Linked DNA regions of Astyanax mexicanus. The protein of the gene in region 2 purifies or fractionates together with the protein of the main gene of each other region. This does not show direct contact. Links are inferred from orthologs where the notes say so. Each region holds a gene or a part of one and is shown on either strand. Other genes may lie near its edges.

Region 1 (11,418 bases), on a different chromosome or scaffold from region 2:
TTATTGGACTGCATGATACTGGATGAAAAAAAACGACATTGCAATATTTTTTGGTTATATATATTTTATATTTTGCTATATATATTGCAATTTTGGAATGGATTTGAGAGTGATGCTTCCTCAGACCTTTGCCTTTTTTGCCTTAGCACCTTAGCTAAGTCTTAATACTGAAAGAGCAGTGTTCTTATTTATTTAATTATATATTGTATATCAATATTAAAAAATACAGGATGTTTGACTACATTTTACCAGAAGTCAATAATCCAGCATGTGATAATATTTGAAGACTAGAGTCAAATAAATTATACTAGGCATATAAAATGAGACTGCCTTGTAGATATATCCTGGTAAATGAGAATAATCTGAATTGTATTGTGACTGTATTATGCAACTTTTTCCCCAAAAATGTACAAAAATTCAGAAACAATATCTTCTTGTTGTGCAGCCCTAATGCATAATTTTCCATCTGACTTTAAAAAAGGGCTGGTAAAATATATATGATATTTAAAAACATTTTTAAAATACACAATATGTATTATCACATTTTGAAACAGAATGCATTAGTAGCAGGAGATAGTTAAAAGCACTAATCAAATCCTACACTTATGTAATCCTACACTTATGTAATTTTTTATTAATAATGTACAGTAAAGTACATAAGTACGTAATTACATTTAACCCATGACAAAATATATCATGATATGATTAAATATATATATATATATATATAAAATATATATAAAAACCCTTCTTTTAAAGTGTTTTTTTTTCCAGAACCACATCATAGTGTACCTTCAAATGAAACATAGTATTAGTGAGGGTCTTTAAGCTAGCTGAGATTTTCTCCATTACAGATGGGGCTTGCCCTCATCCCCCACTTCCTCGGTTGTCACGGTTACCTCTTTGACTGCTTTGATTTGAAGGAACTGATTATCATTTTATGGCGCTTGATTTTCTTACTTCTTAGGGGTGACTGTACCCTTTGCTGCTGTAAGAGAGAATACACTTTAAAAAAGCATGGTCCTAAATGTTTTTGGTATTTGCCTCATCTTTTGAGGTATCCCTTTAAACTGCCAAAAAAATGGTCCCAGTTTAATCTCCATCTATTCTCAATTTCTTTGTAGTGAAAAATGTGCAAATATTCAGTAGACAGATAAGGTTTATGAATACAATCCAGCTGTTTAAAGGTCAGACACATTAGGCAAATAAGTATCATCATGTTTGTTAAATGGGAGCATCCTGTTTTTGTCAGTGATGATCAGTGTTTAGTTTCAGTCTTCAATCTGCATTTCTCTTATTGATGCAACAGAATGGGTAGCATAATAATAAATATCCCTCTGCCTCCCCCTTATTCTGGAGTGCTTGCCCCACACCATTACCCCATCAACAGTCTGTGCTGTGGACACAAGGCAGGAGGGATCCAAGGATTCATGCTGTGTCTGCCAAGATCTGACCTGCCATCTGCCTGTGGCAGCAGAAATCAACACACATCAGACTGAGCAGCAATTCTCCAATTTTCCGTCATCTAGTTTTTCATGATTAACTGCATCCTGTAGTCTTTCTGATCTCAGCATGAATGAGACCACCATGGTCTTCCATTGCTGAAGACCATCTGCTTCATGATTTAACACTGCATGGAGATGTGCCCTTCAGTTCACCACTTTTGTGTAATGCCTACTTGGGTATTCATGGCCTTTGGTAAATTTTTCCTCTAACCTGTCTCATTAACCGAATGCTTCTGCTTGCAGATCTGCCACTCACTGGATGTTTTTTTTGTTTATCACATCACTGTGGGTGAACTCCAGACTGTCCCTAGAGAGAGCTGTTTCTGGAGCCAAATCTTGCCATGCTTGTCCATTCTTATGTTTGGTACAGCAGCATTTAAGCAATCTCAGCCCAATATCTCCTTTGCTAAAAAACACTAAAGGCTCTCCCTTTTGAATGGGAATCTCTAACCACATGATCTCTAATGGCCCTGTGAATGTGGTTTATGATACTGAGTGACTCACAGCTATCTATCTATAAACATGGATTCAAGCCCAAAATCTTGTTGATACAAACTTCAGACATCAGACACATCTTGGGTGATCCAATATATAAATGTATGATTTATGTAAGAGAAAATTTGTGCAAATTAGTTGTAAGCTATTGCTGTATGGAGAAAGAGTATATATATATATATATATATATATATATATATATATATATATATATATATATATATATATATACGTATATATATATATATATATATATATATATATATATATATATATATATATATATATATATATATATATATATAATGCTAAGCTCCTTTACTCACTAAGCTGATAGGAACATTATAACTGTATAGTTACTGGACAGAATGGATTCCACAAGATGTTGGAAACATTCTTCTAAGATTCCTCATTCCTCTAAGAGTCAAGGTTGATGTGAGTGTGTCATTCAGTTCCTGGAGAGTATCCCATCCTTTCACATACAAACTGTTCATTGTCATGTTCATAAACCAAGTTTGAAAGCTTTGTGACATGATCTTATTATCATCCTGGAATTGGCTAAAAGGAGATGGGTAAGTTGTGGTCATGTAGGGATGCACCTGGTCAGCAACAAGAAGTTGTTCTGTTCTGCTGAGCCAATGTCCACTGCAGCCTCAGCTTTCTGTTCTTGGCTTACAGATGAGAGCAATTTAGTGTGCTCTTCTGCTGTTGTAGACCACCCACCTAGTAGTTATATGAATTATGGTAGCTTTTCTTTCAACTAAAATCAGGCTGGTCTTTCTCTTTTGGCTACTTTCTGTCTTATCAAAAATGTCTTTCTGTATGCAGGACTGCTGCTCACTGGATTTTCTGGATGTTTATTCTTTATTTCACCACTCTGAGTGAATTCTTCATATCAGCAGTTCCAGAAATACTTAAACCAACCTCCCAGGCAACAATCAGGGCACTCTCAAAATGAGTGAGATCAATGAAATTGGATTTTTTTTCCCTCATTCTGATGGTTGATGTGAACATTACTTAAAGCTGCTGGTCAATAACTAGATGAATTCGACCTGCTGAAACTATAGATTGGCTGGTGTCCTAATAAAATGCTCAGTGAGTGTGCATGAAGTATACATTCCCTAACTGTGATTGAATGGATTTATAATGCATTTGATAACTAATAAGTGTAAAAACAAATAATAATTCTCCTGCACATCCTTTTGTACAGTCTAGTTCTCATCATGCATGCAGGCTTTCCACTAGAACTGGAACAGACTGATAGCAGTGCTTTAAACGTGGCAGGGCTGCTTCTCTTTGTTTATAGAGGGGGTGATGTGCTGAGATCAGTCACCTGTCCTCCTGTGCTTTGTTCAGTCATAATTAATCAGACGTGATTATGAGATGAGATGATCCACGCCAGCTTTTTTTTTCAATACGCCAGCTTTTTTTCCCTGGCACGTAGTGATGAAACAGAAGGGTATGCACATAAATAATAATCATGAATGGCATGATTTAAAAAAAAAGTAATGCAAACACAAACGCATGCGACAAAATATATGGGAAAAAGCACAGCACTGCTATCAGGGAAGGCAATGCATTATACATGTATATACCAGTACAGTAAGACTTTCTCTGTCTCTCTTTGTGTGTGTCTTACCTCCTCGCGGGGACTCTCCGGTTCGTCTCCCGAAGCTGGAGCTGCGGCTGGGCTGCTAGCGGTGGTCGTAGCTGTAGCCGTAGCCGTGGTCGTGGCCGGGGCGGCCGATGCTGGTGACATGTCTGTGCGGGCAGGGGGCCATGCATCATCCACAGAGCTCGCACGAGGGGACGGTCAGCGCAGCAGCAGCAGCACCAGTAGCCCACCGCTTACTGACACACAGAAAAACAGCTCAGAAAACGCTGCCATGTGCTTTCAGAGCAGAACAGCTGCACGCGCTGCATGTGTGAACGCCATCCTACAGCAGCACCTCATCCTCCTTCAGGACTGAACTGAACTGATCAAAAGAAGGAGCATCGCAGCCTGGGGCCCTCCTGCACCTTCTGCAGCTCCTGCAGCTCCTGCACCACAGCGCTCAGCTCCAGCGAGCAGGAGGTGTAGCCTGGTGTGAGAGCGGCAGCGCGCCGATTAATAACGATCAGTGAAAAAACACACAGCGCGGAGCTGCACGTGCGCGCGCGCCCGCTCCGCCACGACGCTGAATGGGAATGATGAGAGGAGGGGGAGGAGCTCGAGCGGAGCACAGACATAAAGGTGTGCTCAAAAGGCGACTCCAGCAGCATCTTAAAAGTGTCAGTCCACTAGTTTTTAATTAACGTTAGAATGTGTAACAACACCCATCATGCTAAAACTTCCTTGCAATACATGCATTGTGACACAGTCTTCTTTTTTACTCTTTTAAATCGTTAGCTGTCTTCAGTTTTAATTCTGCGTTTCTTTTGTTTAATGCAATGCGTTGTGGTTGGTGTGGCGCAGTGGATAACACCAGCCCCAGTCAGTGAGCTACCACATCATGTGGTAGACTAGGATTCAATTCAATCTAGGTGACTATGTTGTGCTACACCAATAAGAGTCCTTGGTGCAGACTCCTAACATTGACCAGCCTTTGTAATAGAAATAACCTTGTCACTCTGGATAAGAGTGTCAGCTAAATGCCTCACATGTAAATGAAAAAGCAGGTGTAGACTGAGTTTGCTGTTCTGATATCTCCATGTTCACTGTAGCTATTGTATCAGCACCATTAGCAGTACCATGGTTGCTCAGGTAAACAGCAAAAGCTGTTAGGCCTATTCACCTTATTCGTCCACCTTATGCACTCTGCACTTATGCACACCTTATGCATACTGATCATAAAATATCAGTATTTAACCATATTTACAGCTATTTACTGCACAGCTAACCAGCTTTCACACACAACACACGCAAAGAGGGGAGTGCTTATATTCACTGCCTTCCAGAGAAGAGGTGCTGTGCCATCAACTGTAGACCCAGATCCTCTTCTGTGGAAGGAGGTGGTCATTTTTCTGTGGTGTATTCAAAACTGTGCTGTTAAAGTTAATTCCTCCTCTTCTTTCAGTTACTGTGACACCCTATAACTAACTGCACCAGACATTCCAAAACAAAGTAACCAAACCTGGCCCTCCCTGTCATCATGCAGAATAAGTGGCTAGCCAGAAAAAAAGTACTTAGTACTTGTATTTAGAATATATTTTTTGTCTTTTATATAATATATATTACTATATAATTTGCCCTCTGCCCACTCAGGAAGACAACCAAAAAATATTTTTTGTCCTAAAAACGCCATGCAAAAAGACATTAACTTATTAATCTGAAAGATGTCTAAAGACATTTTAAAATAATTCTAGGATATATTAAGAGGACGTTCTAAGGGCTTTCTATCATCAATCTAAGAGTGTTCTAAAGTGCAGTAAAGTATAGTGTTAAGTAGTTTTAAAGAGATTTTAATAAAATAATGTAAGAATTTTTTTTTTCTAAAAGCTTTTCAATGACATTCTAATATAATTCTAAAAGTGTTCTAAAGACAAAAGCATTCGTATGAAATGTTTCATATAACATTTTAGAGTTATGGTGTATGTAAAACTGTAATAAAGCTTCAGTAGTGAATTGAAATATTTTGGCCACATATATTTTGCAGCTTCTTAGGAGCTCCCCCTGCTGGAAACACAGAGACCTGCTCCCAGACTGTTGAGTGTGCCACAGCAACGCAGAAGTGTGATTTTCCTCATCTTACCATTTTGCAAACTTTAGCTTTAAGGCTGCCTCAGTGAGATTGGGGTGGTCACCCACTATGCTTCACCACATCCTCTGAAGGACACTCATGACCCTGGCATGGCTCAAACACCAAACCTTGTGATTAGGAGTCACTTGCATGCACTATAGGCTACTATTGCGCCATACATTAATATATTTGTTCATATAGCTTAAGTAGTTCACTGTTTAGCCTCATGTTTAGCCTCATTTAGACTACACTGCAAAATAAAGCTACGTTTATATAGTTTTGATACATGCATTTATACATTTCCCTCCTTTTTTTAGCATTTTTTTTGCAACTCTTGTCTATCCTGATGAGACTAGAGTGCAAAATGGAGCTAACTTTGTCCCAGAAGTTACAGCCGTGGTGTGTGTGTGTGTTATTAGAACTGGGGAATTCCCAACTGCACACAAACATTCGTCTCAGGCCACGCCTATTCGCTTGCCCACACACCGCACACTTTAGTAACAACATGTCTATTTATGAACATTAGCTCCGCCTGTCGTCTGTCTGGCCACGCCCATTGGCGAATAACCCTGCCCCCGGCCCCGGTTCTCTCTCTCTCTCTGGTGAGACAGTTTTAGGAGGCACTAGTTCACAGTTTTAACGGCGGTTTAAACTGGTCTGTTGGAGGAGTCTCTCCGATCAGACGGGTGTTTTAAGGCAGTAAGTTAAGGTAGTTAAAGTGTTTAGGCGGAGGTGTTAGTGCCTCCAGGCGGTAGCGGGGGTTTAGTTTGTGTAAGTTAGGCCGTAGTTCTGCGTTGGAAGAGAATAGAGAAGCTGGAGGAGCTGCAGAAGGAGGAGGAGGGCATGAGACACGACGACGGGCTGCTCTGGTTTCACAATGGCGCGGCGGTGATGTTGTTCAGGTGAAGCGCGGATCCTCAGCTTGCGAGTCCGGACACAACCAGCGCTTATTTCGGGTACTATGGAGCCGAGCGGCCGGGCGAAGGGCAAGTTTGAGTCTGAGGAGAATCGGACTGACTCCGTAATCGACTCCGGTATCGACTCGTTCAGATCTTTACCCAGAGACGAGCCGCGGTTGAGCGGCGCGGCCGGGAGCTCCGCGCCCGGGGAGCAGGACAAGCTGAGCGGGGGGGACGAGCGGCTGGACTCGGCCTACGGGTCCTCCTCCATCGTGGACAATCTGAGCGAAATCATCCCCGATAAATGCAGCATTTCAGGAACGCCGAGCTCCCAGAACACAGAGGAAAACACAGAGGACGAGGATGAGGAGGAAGAAAACCTCCTAACTACTGTCACAGAAGACGGAGACACGTAGGTTTTAATCTTTAAATCTTTAGACCTTTTACTCCCCTACCTCCAGCAGTGATCATTATCATCATAATGATAGATAACAACACTGTCTGGAGGGATTCAGATCACCCTGTCACTGGGGCTGGGTTATTTGACAGCAGTTTAACATCACGATACTTAAGCTTTTAATAAGAAGATATCAATAATTTTATTAATTATATTCAGTATTCAATACACTGATTTCAATACAGACAAATTTAATATTCAAAATACATGTTCGTAAAACCATACGAGAGTTAATTTATTAATTGGATCACTTAAGAAGTAGGCCAATGTTTTTTTGTCACCTCTTTGTTTGGCTCTGTTTATCTTTATTTAGCTCTGAAAAAAATAAGAGGCCACTTAAGAGGAAGATGGATTGTCACAACCCATCAAACCAAGCTCAACAGCTTGAATTTTTTCACCAGGAGTGGCATAAAGTTAGCCAAAAGCAGTGTGTAAGGCTGGTGGAGAAGAACATGACAAGATGTATGAAAACTGATTAAAACCAGGGTTGTTCCACCAAATATTGATTTCTGAACTCCTAAAACTTGAATATGAGCTTGTTTTCTTTACATTATTTGAGGTCTGAAAGCTCTGCATCAGAACAAAAATGTTCATTTTACTCAAACATATACCTATAAATAGCACAATCAAAGAAACTGATTCAGAAACTGAAATGGCTCTTGTTTTTTCCAGAGCTATATATATATATATATATATATATATATTATTGTAAAGGGGTAGAGATGGTATATAGTGAATAGTCCTATTTAAATACTGAACTACAGAACTACACAATTAAGTAAGAAAAAATATATATAATTAAGGTCAGTCATTACAAAAAAATTCAAGAACTTTGAAAGATTCCTCACACTATGATGAAACTGGCTCTTTCTGTTACCTCTGTTGCACAGAACAAGTTCATTAGAGTTGCAGTAAGCACTACTTAAGGAAAAACACTTGTCCAAATAAGATTTAACTTTTAAGAATACTGAAAGAAGAGAACTACAGTAAAACAGTCCTGTAGCTAAACCAAGGCATAAGGCAGATATTAAGAAGCCAGAATCCAGCCTCAGTGGGAGATAAAGTGCCAAATTAAACACGTTTTCAATATAAAGCATCAGTGAAACAGTTATCCCCCACGTTATTGTATATTTAGAGGTTGCATGTACTGTGTTATCTCGTGTAGGCTCATCCTGACTTGGCACAAACCTCCCAACAACAGGGCGTTAGAAGTGCACATGGAAAGTAGTGCCTTCTTGTGTGGGTTTATTTTTGTTTAACTGTGTCTGTGGCTAAAATTAGCCCTTACACCAAAAGTGTTTCTTATGTTAACTGTTAAAAACCTGTGTGTGTGAGAGAGGGAACATATAAAATAGTCTTATTTATTTGTGTGTATAAAAGATACATTTCAGTTTCTGCAAAGATGGAGCTAGAGGGGGCTGATTTTTGTGAAGATGAATGGGTTTGGTTTAACATTACCGATTTCATCCGCATAGCTTTACAGTCTGGAGAAATATCTTTGATGATTCACTGTCATGTGTGTGATTAACTGGTTCACAGTGAATGTGTTTTCTGATAGAAAGCTGCAGGCAGTCACACAGGCCTAGAAACTGGATCTATTATCGCTGCTGCATCTGTGTGAGAAAGCAGAAGTACGCACAGTGGAATTCCCCAGCGCTGGGCTGGAAACGCGTTTTCATACCACCCTTTGTAAAAAAAAAAAAAAAAGAGATTTTGTTGAGGGCACACACACACATTTTACTTTTACAGAACACACACATGATAAACATTATTAATCAACATACAAAATACATAATTAGCTTCTCTGTAAATGTTTATTTCAGTGTGCTAAACCTTAAATTATTAATTTATATGATTATTATTATATATGATAAACACAACACAAACTCTACAGAATGCATTAGCTCTGATCACTCCACTTATCACTGTAGCCTTTAGTACGTTCACAGCATTTTTCTCTGTATTTAACATACCTTATCGGATGTTTAGTGTGACCTGTGTGAATGAGGTTGAGTATGAATGTGATAGTCTGTGTGTGTGTGTGTGTGTGGCCAGTATGACCTGTTTTTATTTCCGCTGTCTCTGTTTCTGGGCCAAGAGGAAACTTTTTCTACTTCACTCCCCCTGTAGTCATCATCAGCACTGAAACTCAGTTAAATCCCCCTGTCATTCCATATGGGTGAAACATTTGCTTACTTCAGGAGCTGAATTTCATTTTAGGACTTTAACAAAGTTCTTCTAGAAACTCCCATTTGTCACCTTTTTTCCCTGTGTACACGGTGTATATACATTGTGAAGTTGGTTGATTTGGCATATGTCCCCTGCAACTCTTAACCCAAAGCCATTTCCTTGTATGTTACTGTAACAGTGATGCAGGTCTTTACTCGTTAGGAATACAGATAAGTTTTCCCTGTTAGCATAAACACCAGGTTTAAACACGTTTGCATGCCTTGTACAGGGATAAATGATCCAGTGTAATATTTTGCTAATAGTAATGCATTACTATGTAGGCAAAATTACTTTTATTATTACTTGTATTATCACTTTTATTTATTATCACTTTCCCTGTATTAATAAATATGTTTATTGTTGTTGTCATGCAAAGGTTTTTTCTTTTTATGTAAATTGATTATTTTATTATTATTTTTGGTTGCCATGTGTTTTCGCTCCAGTACTGTTACTGCGTAAGTTGTGGTGACCCAGCTGTAAAGACCCAAATGGAGGAAACACTACTTTTAGACATGTCTAAGCATAGCTGTTTCTTGCTGTAAAGAGAGGCTGCATACACAGTCAGTTGGGTCATCAGGTACATTAAATTTTGTGATTTTACTGTTTTCAGTGGCTGTTTTTGTTTAAACGTCTGCAGATTGCTAAGTTATCTCCTCAGCTGAACAGATCTAAACATCCAAAATACCCATAATTTCAGCTGTTAGTGTAAGCCAAGCCAGTCTTCTAATTCCTTAGTTGGGTCCAAGCTAAATGTAGCCCAATGCATGTGATATGCTGACAGGTTGTTAGTAAAATAAAATATGTTACAGCAAACCATTCAAGTGCATTCCCTCTATTTATTGGTAAAAGCTGTCTGGGACAGGAGCAAAAAAGTAAATACAAGAAGAAGGTCCTGTGTTTTGAACTATTGCATATTTTAATGCAAAGCAGCATGCAACAACAGCAGAGATGCCATTTGTTAATAGTTGTAGTAATTATATGCCTGTTATCGCAGGTTTATTAATTATATGGGTGATATATCAGGTTAAACTCTTCTTAAACAGCCATTAATCTCAAACATGTGGGGTACATCAGATCCTTGGAGTTGGTTGAATTGCATTGTGATCACAAATGTACCATTTCATGGTTTGTTTGCCATTGAAGTGCATGTGTGAAACACTTCAAGTTATTGTACTATCTGTCAAGTAAAGACATTTGATGCTGATAAATAAAATTTTTACTGTTCCGGACCTGGTTAGGATGCCCCAAGTGGTTAAAAATTCAGTTCTTCTGCGTTGAGTCGTTGATGATGAAATAAAATGTATTTTCATCTAACACATAGCAGTGGGTGTTGACCTTCCAAATGTTAACTTATACTCATAATTACTTATAATCATAGTTAACTTATAACTCATAATATTAATTAGTGGGAAATACAGTTAAGGATATTCATACATTTTTACATTCATAATCCTGACAATAACTTTGTTTATTTGGAAGTGTTCAACCATATACATAAGAATCAGAGTTACATAGAATGTCTATATAATTTCTTTTAGTTTTTCCATGTGCTCCTCAAAACCTCATAGCCGAGGAGGTGTAGATTAAACATCTAGCTTAAAACTTCTTAACTGGAAACATGTTGTGTTCACAGCCATTTAAGTAAGCTTGTCAGTTAAAAGCCAGTTGGGAGACTATTGTTAAGGAAGCCATGTTCTTGTTGTGTACTATTTCCTGTAGTCTGTGTCATTGTGTGGGCTTCCTACTTTGAATAGGCCTCATTGATTCAGGTGTTTTCACACGTATTTCTCTTGAAATATAATAGGAGTGCACTTGCTTAAACCATCTCTATTTTAATGTCTGGTTTTCCAAGAATCAAATGAGTTTGTGATTGGGCTGACAGTCTTGGTTTGACTGCTATCTGTACAGAAGTTCCAGCATTGCGCAACGTTCAAGCTTTGTGGCCTACTACCACACTCATACTGCAGCAGGGTGTGAAACATTTCTTAGTATCATTTATTTACATCATATTTTTTCCATCAGTGCTTATGAAATACTTTCCTTTGTTTGTCTTCCCCCACAGAGTTAACTGTGAAACAGTCATGAAGCTGTTTAATGAAAAGTATTTTAATTGT
Region 2 (10,723 bases):
GATACTTTTTTCAAACTGTAGTTTCATAAAATCTTTTTTTACATGAAAGGAAGACAAAATAAATTTAAGCTATTTAATCGCCTCTACTGGAGTGATTATTTGCACTTGGGCACATATCATTTCACCCCTTAACTTAAAACTTTACAGTGCAGATTACCTTAATGACTTAATCTTAGGAGTAAATTAGGTAAATAAGCACTTAAATAAGTATATAGGTAAATAAGCACTAATAAGATTTTAGGATGCGGAATGCATTCAAATACATCTAATATTTAGGTGTAAATAAGTAAAAGAGAGGTTCTAGTTGCTAAATTGCAAAAATAAAATCCAGTATTAAAAATGTAAATTTCCAATATTGTCACCATCACCTTGTATCTAAATGTTTGTTGTCTTTCATTTTTACATGATTTGAATTGGGCAGCAGTTATTTAAATTGTGCCAAAACGTCATGATTAATGGACCAAAAGGCATGACAAAACCTGGAACAAACTCTTTTTACATTGACTTCCATAGAAATATTTTTGTGATAGTACACACTGCTACTACATACACCTGGGTGAAAATAGCTTGTGCCTTAATTTATTTAATCAGTGATGGTAAAATTAGGATTGCTAAACACAAAATCCATGAAAATAGGTGGCATTTTATGAGCTGGTCCAAGTTATATACAATCGACTGACATCTGCCTTTGGCCACATACTTTTTTCTACAGTTTTTACATTTCCATTTTGATTCAAGGCCAAATCTTACATCAGCATATTTTCAATATTACTGTGAATCAAACGGATACTACATTCCGTTCAAACGTCAAAATGTTTTAGTTCCAAGTGGAAAATGTGAACTGTAAGGCTCCCACAGCTTGAAATTCCCACTTAGAAAGTCAGCCAGAAAGAGAGCCTCGCCAATAATCAATATTCAAATTTAATATGGCCAGCAGTAGTAGTAAAGCAGCATTAATATTCTGTTTAATAGCACTTCTATTTATTTGTCTCCCTTTAAATTTATCATTCACACTTTACTGTCCAACTTTTATCTGTGGATATGTGTGTAGTAGTTTGAACAAGCAAAATACTGCATAATGTTTTGTTAGCACATTGGAATCGCTAACAATGCTAACACAGGACAATGCTAAACGAAATAGTGTAAAATTATCGATTTGACTAACTAGAATGGCATAAACTCAAAAAGCAGCTCTGGCCTGATACTGACCTGTGGGGAGTCTGTGCATCTAGAGACGAGCACTGGCCCATTACTTATTTCTGTAGGAGTAAGAGAAGGAGGAGGAGGAGGTCCAGGGAGTTTAAATCCGCTCTCAACAATGAACTCGTTTATTTCATCTGATAAGAGATGACAGCAAAAACAACAAGAATGATAACAACAACCAAATTAGTTTTAGGTAATGATGCAGCATGGCCCTTACACAGGGATAAATGCATCTTGCATTATGAAAAAAAGTCACATATGACATATAGGGTTGCACATTGATTTCAAAATTATATTGGAATTGGATGATAATTGCATTTTTTTAAATCATTGAATAATTTAAGGCCAATATTTAAAACCAATACTTGCTGATGTGTTTATTGTATGCAAGCAATTCTGGATGCTATACTACAACTGCCCAACACTGACCATGCTATTTTAAGATGTACTTATTTATTTGTTTATTTTTCTACTAGTTTTAAATGATAAAATTAAACTCTTTGTATTGTTATGAATGTGTATATTGGTATCACCACTTATGTACATGTGTTATATTGGATATCATTATTGGTCCAAAATTTCCACACTGATACATCCCTAATGGTATATTTTCATATGGCTACATGTTTCCATTTTTATGTGTATTATTTTATTTTACATTTAAATATCCATTATTAAAATATTTATTAAAAATGTGATTAATCATGATTAATCATGTTAAATTGTGCAATTAAATTGTTATTTTCTTATTATTAAAACTGTACGTATTAACGATACACCTAAGTGAACTTGTAAATGTTCTAATCCATATTATGATGTGAAAGACTCAACTAAGTAATGCAAAAATTACAGGTACTTTAAGAAATGAAGGTCAGTCAATTTGAAAAATGTCAAGAAAGAAAGAAAGTACTCTCAAGTGCAGTCACAATGATAAGTTCATCATCGGAAACCGCAGATTAACAGCACCCCGGATAAAAGACCACCTAGTATTTTTGTTCAACACTTTTAAGTTACTACATGATTTCGTATGTGTTCCTTCATAGTCTGGAATTTAATACACTTTAGTATTCAATTAAAATGTAAGGAAAAATCACTTTATAAAATGAATGTGTTAGTGTGATTTCTAGTTTAATTCATTTTATGGTATTAAAGAGAAAATAAATGTTAAAATACATGTCATGGTAATTGTATATATTTTGTGTTGAGTGTTTATGATGAAGTAAGTTTTGTGGGCTTGATGTGTGGGTTATGTTAGTAGATATGGTGGGGGTTAAAAGCAATGTGGGCGGAGTTCCTGAATGTTGTATAGTGTGTCGAGATGGTATTTTTTTATATAATTATTTATTTTAATTTGCTCTTTTATGTTTATTGTGGGAAGTCTGAATTAATGTGAGCTTCTGAGAGTGTATGCCACTATGCACTTTACCGATTTAATATAATGCGCTTTATTGTTTTAAATGTATTAATTTGTTTACTCATGTGAACTGATCTGCCTCTATTACACAAATGTTTTTTTTTTACAAATAAGAATTTGCTCTTATTTAACTAGCCTAGGCCTTACATTCTTGTTATTTTTATTATTATTATTATTATTAGGTTCAAGATTCAATAAATTGTATTTTTTACACATCACAAAGTACAGGTGTACATGTGAGTGAAAGACTTGGGTGCAGGTTCCCACTAGTATGTAGAGAACAATGTTTACAACAAAGTACAATAATAAGTTAAAATAGAAATATATAGTTAACTTTACAGTATACATAATATACACAATACACACAATAACTTACAGACTATAGACATACAGACATATGGTACTGCACGGAAATATGTTAAATATGACTAAAAAATATGACTGAAAAATGCAGATATCTATAGTGCGTGTGTGGAAGTGAGGAAATGGTCCAATAGATGAACTAGATGAATAGAGTAAAGTGCAGGTACAGAAAGAGTTGTGTGAGAAGTTGTTATTATTATTATTATTATTATTATTATTCAATTTCGTTTATTAATACATTCAAAATAATAGAGGCTGGTATACTGTATAATATTAAATGTAAAATGATATGATAAAAATGGTCCACTTACCAAGGTCGAGAGCTGTGGAGGAGAAAAACAGCACCAGTTAAATCCACAGACTAACAGACAAGGAAAGTGAAACTGAAAGTCTTAACAGCCCTGCGGGCTAACAGACAACAACACCATTCTATTCCTACACAATAAACCGCACCAGTCCCAGATGAGGTAGAATAAAGCATATACAGCATGTGAATTGATTGAATTGAGCTGATTTGCCTCTTCTAGATCACGCAATGCTGTGTAACGTCAATAGTAGGAACTAGTATAGAGAAAAGACGGAGCACCATGACTAGGCATAGTTAGCTCGGTTACCTATTCTAGCTAATAATAAGCACATTATAATAATAATAACAATAAAAATAAACATTATACACCTAATTAGAGACTAATTTATATCTGATTATTTAAGGGTTTGTTTTTTAAAGCCAGATTTTTCACTTTTAAAACTAATAGTAGTGAATCCGGGACCAGAAAAGTAAAATCCGCCCCAGAATCCAGGTCCAGAGATTAGCTAGAAATCCATTCCAGGATTTTGTCTTAACTGCCAAAGAAAGCTGCGCTGCAGCGCCCAGGAGCCACGCTTTCTTAGGCGGTTGGAACAAAATCCTGGAATGGATTTATAGCTAATCTTTGGACTTGGATTTCACGCCTATGTCAAAACGACATAAATACTAACATTCATCGTTTATTATTATTATTATTATTATTATTATTATTATTAATTTACGCTTTTTAATACCAATAAACACACTGTAGACAGCCGGATAGTGCTGTAAATGAATTGATATATTTATGAAAATGCTTAAATTCACAAATAGATACATTTATAAATACATATTTTTTCTACATAAAATCTACCAAAAACGTACAACTATATTATTATGGTTTGTATAATTTAGGAAAAAAATATGACATAAAACCTCCATGGCTAACTTTACTTCTTACAAAACGTGTCTTTCCCAACCTACATGCGCACAGCTAGCCTTAGCGCGCGCACAGAGTAAACAAGCGTTTACAGACCTTTTACAGACTTTTATCGACACGTTTATAGATGTTTTAGCTCGCTGTCACTTACCGCCAGTGCCTAGGGTACCGTTGCGAGCTGGTCCGTTCATATTTCTCATGGCAGGTGAAGGACTAGGCTGGTAAAACAGGGTTAGTCTGGTACTGGGCTGAGGTCCGGTTAGCTGGGTTATGTACTCATTGGAGCTGTACTAAAGGTCGGTGACTGCGGCTCTGAGTCTCTGCAGCGCTGCTGTACTTCTGCTTCTGCCCGTGTATCAAAATAACTCACGTTTTCTACCAAATTCGTTTCACTTTGTGCCTCTTCTAGCCCGAGCTGACCGGGTGGAAATCCCCCTACGTCACTGCTGGGAAACCCCCCCGCGAGTCGGCGCAGTAAGAGCGCGCGGTAACAGGTGAGCTGCAGCACGAAGGGCCCGAGGATCAAAACAAGAAAACGAGAGATGGAAACATGCCCCTAAATGGCTGCGCTGAAACATGGTAGACAAATAAGAGTTTCGTGAGGAAAGCACCTTCTAATGAACTGTTTGTGGGGTCACACTTTTTAAAGATTAAATGATATTATCAGGGACTGTAAGGGATATATATATATATGGGCGGGCCCTTAACACAGCTCTGGATAAAATTAAGAGAGCACTTCAGTTTCTGAATCAGTTTGTCTGATTTTGCTATTTATAGGTTTATGTTTGAGTAAAATTAACTTTGTTGTTTTATTTTATAAACCACTTTAGAGCGTTTATTTGCAGAAAATGAGAAATATTCAATATTTCAATATTTAGTCGAATAACCCTGCTTTTTAATCACAGTTTTCATGCATCTTGGCACGTCCTCCACCAGTCTTACACACTGCTTTTGGGTAAATTTAGCCATTCCTGGTGCAAAAATTCAAGCAGTTCAGATTGGTTTGATGGCTTGTGATCATCCATCTTCCTCTTGATTATATGTTTTAGAGGTTTTTCAATTTGATAAAATCAAAGAAACTAAAATATTTTTAGGTATAGATTTAAGGGTTTGTATTGAATTAAACGTAAATTAAAGCCAGATTTTTCATTTCTAAAAACTAATAGGTATGAATCCAAAAAAGTCCAGAAAAGAATATGCTGTTAAGTAGCAATGGATTTTTTTTTTTACCTTAACGCCTTTGTATGCAGTACAAAGGATCTTGTCTGGAAAACTAGACAATAGAGGCATTCAAAAACTTTTGTCCGGTTGCGTGTATGTATGTATGTATATATATATATATATATATATATATATATATATATATATATATATATATATATATATATACATACATACAACAATAAGTCTGTATGTATGTATATATATATATACATACATACAAACAATAAGTCTGCATATGTTCCTGTATAGATTTAATGTCTTTATATATATATATATATATATATATATATATATATATATATATATATATATATATATATATATATATAAAGACATTAAATCTATACAGGAACATATGCAGACTTATTGTTTAACAAATATACTAAACAAAATGTAATTAACAAAACATATGTTTTATACTTTAGATTCTTCTAAGTAGCACATTTATCTTTGAGGACAGATCTGCACACTCTTGGTATTTTAATATATTATATAATAATATATAAAGCTCAAAGTTATAGTGTGTGAATGCAGACAGCACTAAAACAGTCTGTGTGGGTTTTTGGTTGTGTTTTAATGATGTGTGATGGACAGAGTAGTAGGTCAAACAAACAGTTGATGTTTAAGGTGGGATGAGACTTTCAGTGTGCGATTCTGAATGATAATTTTGACGTTTATGACATCAAAATTATCGTCACAGCAGCGTGATAGTAAAAAAAAACATAATTATCTTAAATAACCATTAAATAATATATTAATTATAACAATATCATTTAATTACAATAAATAATAACTGAAAAACAGTAAAACAGAGCATAATATCTCTACGTGTTTTCTGCCCTCTGGTGGATAATCTTTGTAAACAATCTCAGGTTGTATTTCCTAAATGCTTGGCTGTATTACAAAATAAAAGTCATAGGCTTGTTGTTTAATAATAATAAAAAAATAATAATAATAGTTAATCAATTAATAGTTAATAGAAAATCAAATAAACTTTCTGTTTCTGGCAAGATGCTATAAAGGGCATGGAGCATGCCCTTACAGCAAGGAATTGGAATCAAGCAAACCAGGGGTGATTATAGGATCAAAGTTTCTCTTTTTTAAATTAAAAAAATACATGTTGATTAATATCTATGTGTTCAATTTGAGACGGGTGATATGGCACATTGTTTAGATTAAAAACAAAAATGGACTGGAAATAAATGGAAAGGAAAACACTTATTTCTTGTACACTGCACTACATTTAAAAAAAATAAATAATGGAGATTTTACATCCATTTTTTGTAAATTTACATTTAGCCTCCAATTGTCAGAAAATTAAATTAATAAACGTTACACTGACACTTGAAGGTTAGTTTAATAATAATAAACAAACAGAGTTTGACCCAGTTTGACCCTAGCGGTCACGTGACATCTACAAAAGCACGCACGTGACATATAGGAGGCAAATCCAAAATGTTAGAAGGCGCTGCTGCTCTCCCGCCATGCCTTCTCCCATCCCCGTTACCCGTTTGCTGCCACGAGGCTTCGGCCTCGACCTCGGAACCCTCAGCAGCCCGCTAAGCAGGCGCGCGGGTGCATCATCCTCCCTGCGTGTGCCCACCGCTACCCACGGAAAGCTCGCTCAGAGACTCTGGTCGTCGGCGGTGCAGTGGCGCGAGCTGCACGAGCTGGAGCCCATTGGCTGCGGGGGCTTCGGCATGGTGTTCAAAGGCACGTACTTTGGAGAGACGGTGGCGGTAAAGCGCGTGCGGCGGGCGAGGAACACGCTGGCCTCGCGCCAGAGCTTCTGGGCCGAGCTGAACGCGGCGCACCTGCGCCACGACAACCTGGTGCGCGTGATTGCGGCCACGACGATGATGCCGACGACTACAATTAAGACTGCGACGGCTTGTGCGCGCACTGGGGACAAGAACCAAGAGGAAGATGATCAGGGGCGCGTGGGCACCATCGTGATGGAGTTCGCGGGAGACGTCAGCCTGCAGCAGGTGATCTACGGGGCGGGGCCGCTGCCCCCCGAGCTGTGCGTGCGCTACGCATCCGACGTGGTGTGCGCGCTCCGTCACCTGCATGCGCACGGCGTGGCGCACCTGGACCTAAAACCCGCCAACGTTTTGGTGTCGCGCGCGGGCGTGTGCAAGCTCGCGGACTTCGGCTGCTCGCTGCAGCTCGGGCGAGACCACGCGGCGTGCGCCCTTGAGATCGGCGGCACGTACACGCACCGCGCGCCCGAGCTGCTCCGCGGCGAGCGTGTGACTGCGCGCGCCGACGTCTACTCGTTTGGGGTCACTCTGTGGCAGCTGCTCACGCGCGATGTGCCGTACCGTGGCGAGCGGCAGTGCGTCATCTACGCCGTGGTAGCGTACGGTCTGCGGCCGCAGCTGGACCGGGACGTGTTCCACCGGAGCTCCGCGGGGCGCGCGTGCGCAGAGCTGGTGAGCTGCTGCTGGAGCGCGGAGCCGAACCTGAGACCGAGCGCCGAGCAGCTGCACTCGGACCTGCAGCAGATCTCCCTTCTAGTGTTTTAGTCTTTCATTCTTCTGCTGTATTATCTCTCCTGCTTACTGTTAACTCTGTAAATACTGTGAAGAAATGTTTAAATATGGTTTGTAAATACATGTGCAGTTTTATATGTTTCCAAAGATTATAATTAAACTTTAATGTTATTTTTATTACTCTAAGATTGAGTCCTGCGTTGTTGTTATATGCGAAATTCATACATATAATCTAACAGTCAAAATGTGGATGCACCTTCTTATTCTATGTTAATTCTATGATTTTTATGCCCTACATTGTAAATATAATACTGAAGTAATCCTGAATATGAAGAAAAACAAGGAATCATGTACATTTAAGAAATCTATACCCTCCATGGCATGGTGTAGGTTGCCCTTAAGTAACAAACCACTTTTTGGTTATTTAAATGTTAAAAAATAAATAAATAAATAAATAAATAAATATATATATATATATATATATATATATATAAGGGTTCTTCAAAAGTTCTTTGGTGAAGGTAATAGTTCTTCATAGAACCATTAACACTCAAATAACCCTTTTTTGGTACTATATAGAACCCTTTTTTCTAAGTGTATACAGGATGTAAAAATGGTCTCAGACTGGAGCACCTGAGCTCAGGACATTTACAATGACCATTATTAACCAAAGGCACCCAGCAAAATATATAAATAATGAAAGAAAAAAAACAACAAAACTAAACCAAAAACAAGAAATGAAAACAAATTCCTACACAAATAAATCAACCAAAAGAAAACAATTCTTAATGTTTTATATTATAATTCAAATGACTGGAGAAATGTGTAGGAATGGTGTATAGATTTTGTGTATAGATTTATTCAGATTTAATTATTCCCTAAAATTGATAAATTACATAAGGCTATAATCGTACCTTTTGGTGTGATTTTGGATATTTTATTTCAACTCTTATATTTCATAAGATTATAACTCAAATGAGATGGAAAATGACTGGGTGTGGTGTGTTGTGGGTAACTTCATTCAGATTGGCACAAAAAACACTTGAATTTTCTAAAATTGTCAAATTATGTAAAGCTATAGTCTTACCTTTTGTTGTCATTATGCACATTTTTTGCAACTTTTATATTTCATGATATTAGAATGATATTGAAATGACTGGGAGTGTTGTATTGTCTCTCAATTTATTCAGATAGTCAATAAATAAACACTTTTAACTTATCCCTAAATCTTTCATCTTATAACTCAAATGGCTGGGAAAATGCCTGGTAGTGGTGTATTGTGTTTAATTAATTCATATATGCAATAAAAACACTTATCTTCACCCCCATATTGTCAAATTATGTAAGGGTATAGTCTTACTTTTTGGTGTGATGTTGGACTTTTATTCCAACTCTTAGAATCTTTTATCTTATAACTCAAATGAGTTAAAATGCCTTGGAGTGGTGTGTTGTGTGTAGTTTTATTAACATAGGCAATAAAAAAACACCACAAAATTGTCAAATTACGAAAGGCTATAGGCGTACCTGTAGGTTTTCTGCAACTCTTTTATTTAATGAGATTTTAACTCAAATTAGTTGGAAATGACTTAGAGTTGTGTATTGTGTGTAGTTTCATTTAGATAAATAAAAAATAAATCAAGCAATAAAAAACACCTTAATTTTTTTCCCAAAAGTGTAAAATTATGTACGGTTATAGTCTTACCTTTTGGTGTGATTTTGCACATTTATTCCAACTCAAGAAATCTTTTATATAATAAGTCAAATGAGTTGTAAAATGACTGTGAATGTTGTATTGTGTGTAATTTCATTCAATAAAAAGTAGCTTGTCAGATATGTGGCAGCAAGTCAACATACAGACACTGCTCAAGAGCCTACATTAATGTTCAGATCAAACATTGGAATAGCAAAAAAAAATTGTCAGAGGGATTTGAGTATTTTGGTATTTTTTAGTATTTTGAGTATTATTTTGGAGCTGCTTTTCTACAAGGACAGGAAGTTGATACGTCAATTTTTACAGAAGTATTTTAAACCCTAGTATCTATACTTCTACCTACAGTGTAATGAATGTGTAAACTTTTCTCATCTTTGGACTGTTCTATGCCAAATCAATCAACAAGCTCAACCTAAACATGTTTTGTTTTGCAAATAAATTAAATATGTTTTGTCATATATTAAGATAACAATAATTGTAACATTTTTTATCAGATTACTCAAGATTAGTGTGTAGGAATTCTGTAGGAAACAGTGCAGGGGGCTAGCTTGACTGAGCGTTTAGAAGTTAAGGCTGGCTTGACTGCAGTCTACAGTGTGTAAGGTACAGTTTCCAGAGAACTTTGTAATTATTCCAGCTTATACTATCTGAAACCATCTGCCAAAAACAGCTGGATCTTTCAGCAGGGAGTCTACAGGTGCACTGCTAACCTGTGCAGTGCACTGATCTGCAGCAACAGTTATTATAATTCTAGTGTACTTTATCTGGTATGAAGCTCTCACTATCAGCAGTGGAGTTTTGCATGAGCACTCTAGAATGACTGGTGAAATGTAAAAATGAAGATAAGGACTGGTACAGGAGAACTTTACATGTGTTTTATTCATCTAAATGTGTCATTATGTAATGTAACAGTTTTATATTATATGTAGTTGCTATGAGTTTCCACTATGACCTACTGATACATTTTTTGGGGCACTGAGGGAGCATTATTTACCCTCCTGAGTTTGGGTTAATGGGGTGAATAAGGGTCTCCACCAGTGAGCTGCTGGTGCCATTTCACTAATGAACCATGGCTCAGTTGGAAGTA

What was found. Proteins that work in one complex are often made in the same cells at the same time.
Region 1: the proteins of relb (region 2) and nfkbie purify together in Homo sapiens (affinity purification with mass spectrometry; 3 studies listed by BioGRID and IntAct, counting the BioPlex papers as one, with this or other methods). This does not show direct contact. The link is inferred for Astyanax mexicanus from reciprocal best matches to the Homo sapiens genes RELB and NFKBIE.

What each region holds. Positions count from the first base shown.
Region 1 is NC_064408.1:85,857,793-85,869,210, reverse strand, and holds the start of nfkbie (NF-kappa-B inhibitor epsilon), read left to right. Parts: upstream 1-6,291; 5' UTR 6,292-6,680; coding exon 6,681-7,030; intron 7,031-11,418. Other genes in the region: tmem151ba (transmembrane protein 151B), read right to left, coding at 3,640-3,759. UniProt on the Homo sapiens protein: Sequesters NF-kappa-B transcription factor complexes in the cytoplasm, thereby inhibiting their activity. Sequestered complexes include NFKB1-RELA (p50-p65) and NFKB1-REL (p50-c-Rel) complexes.
Region 2 is NC_064425.1:6,568,239-6,578,961, forward strand, and holds the start of relb (transcription factor RelB), read right to left. Parts: upstream 4,707-10,723; 5' UTR 4,407-4,706; coding exon 4,358-4,406; intron 3,304-4,357; coding exon 3,292-3,303; intron 1,338-3,291; coding exon 1,210-1,337; intron 1-1,209. Other genes in the region: proto-oncogene serine/threonine-protein kinase mos, read left to right, coding at 6,915-7,958.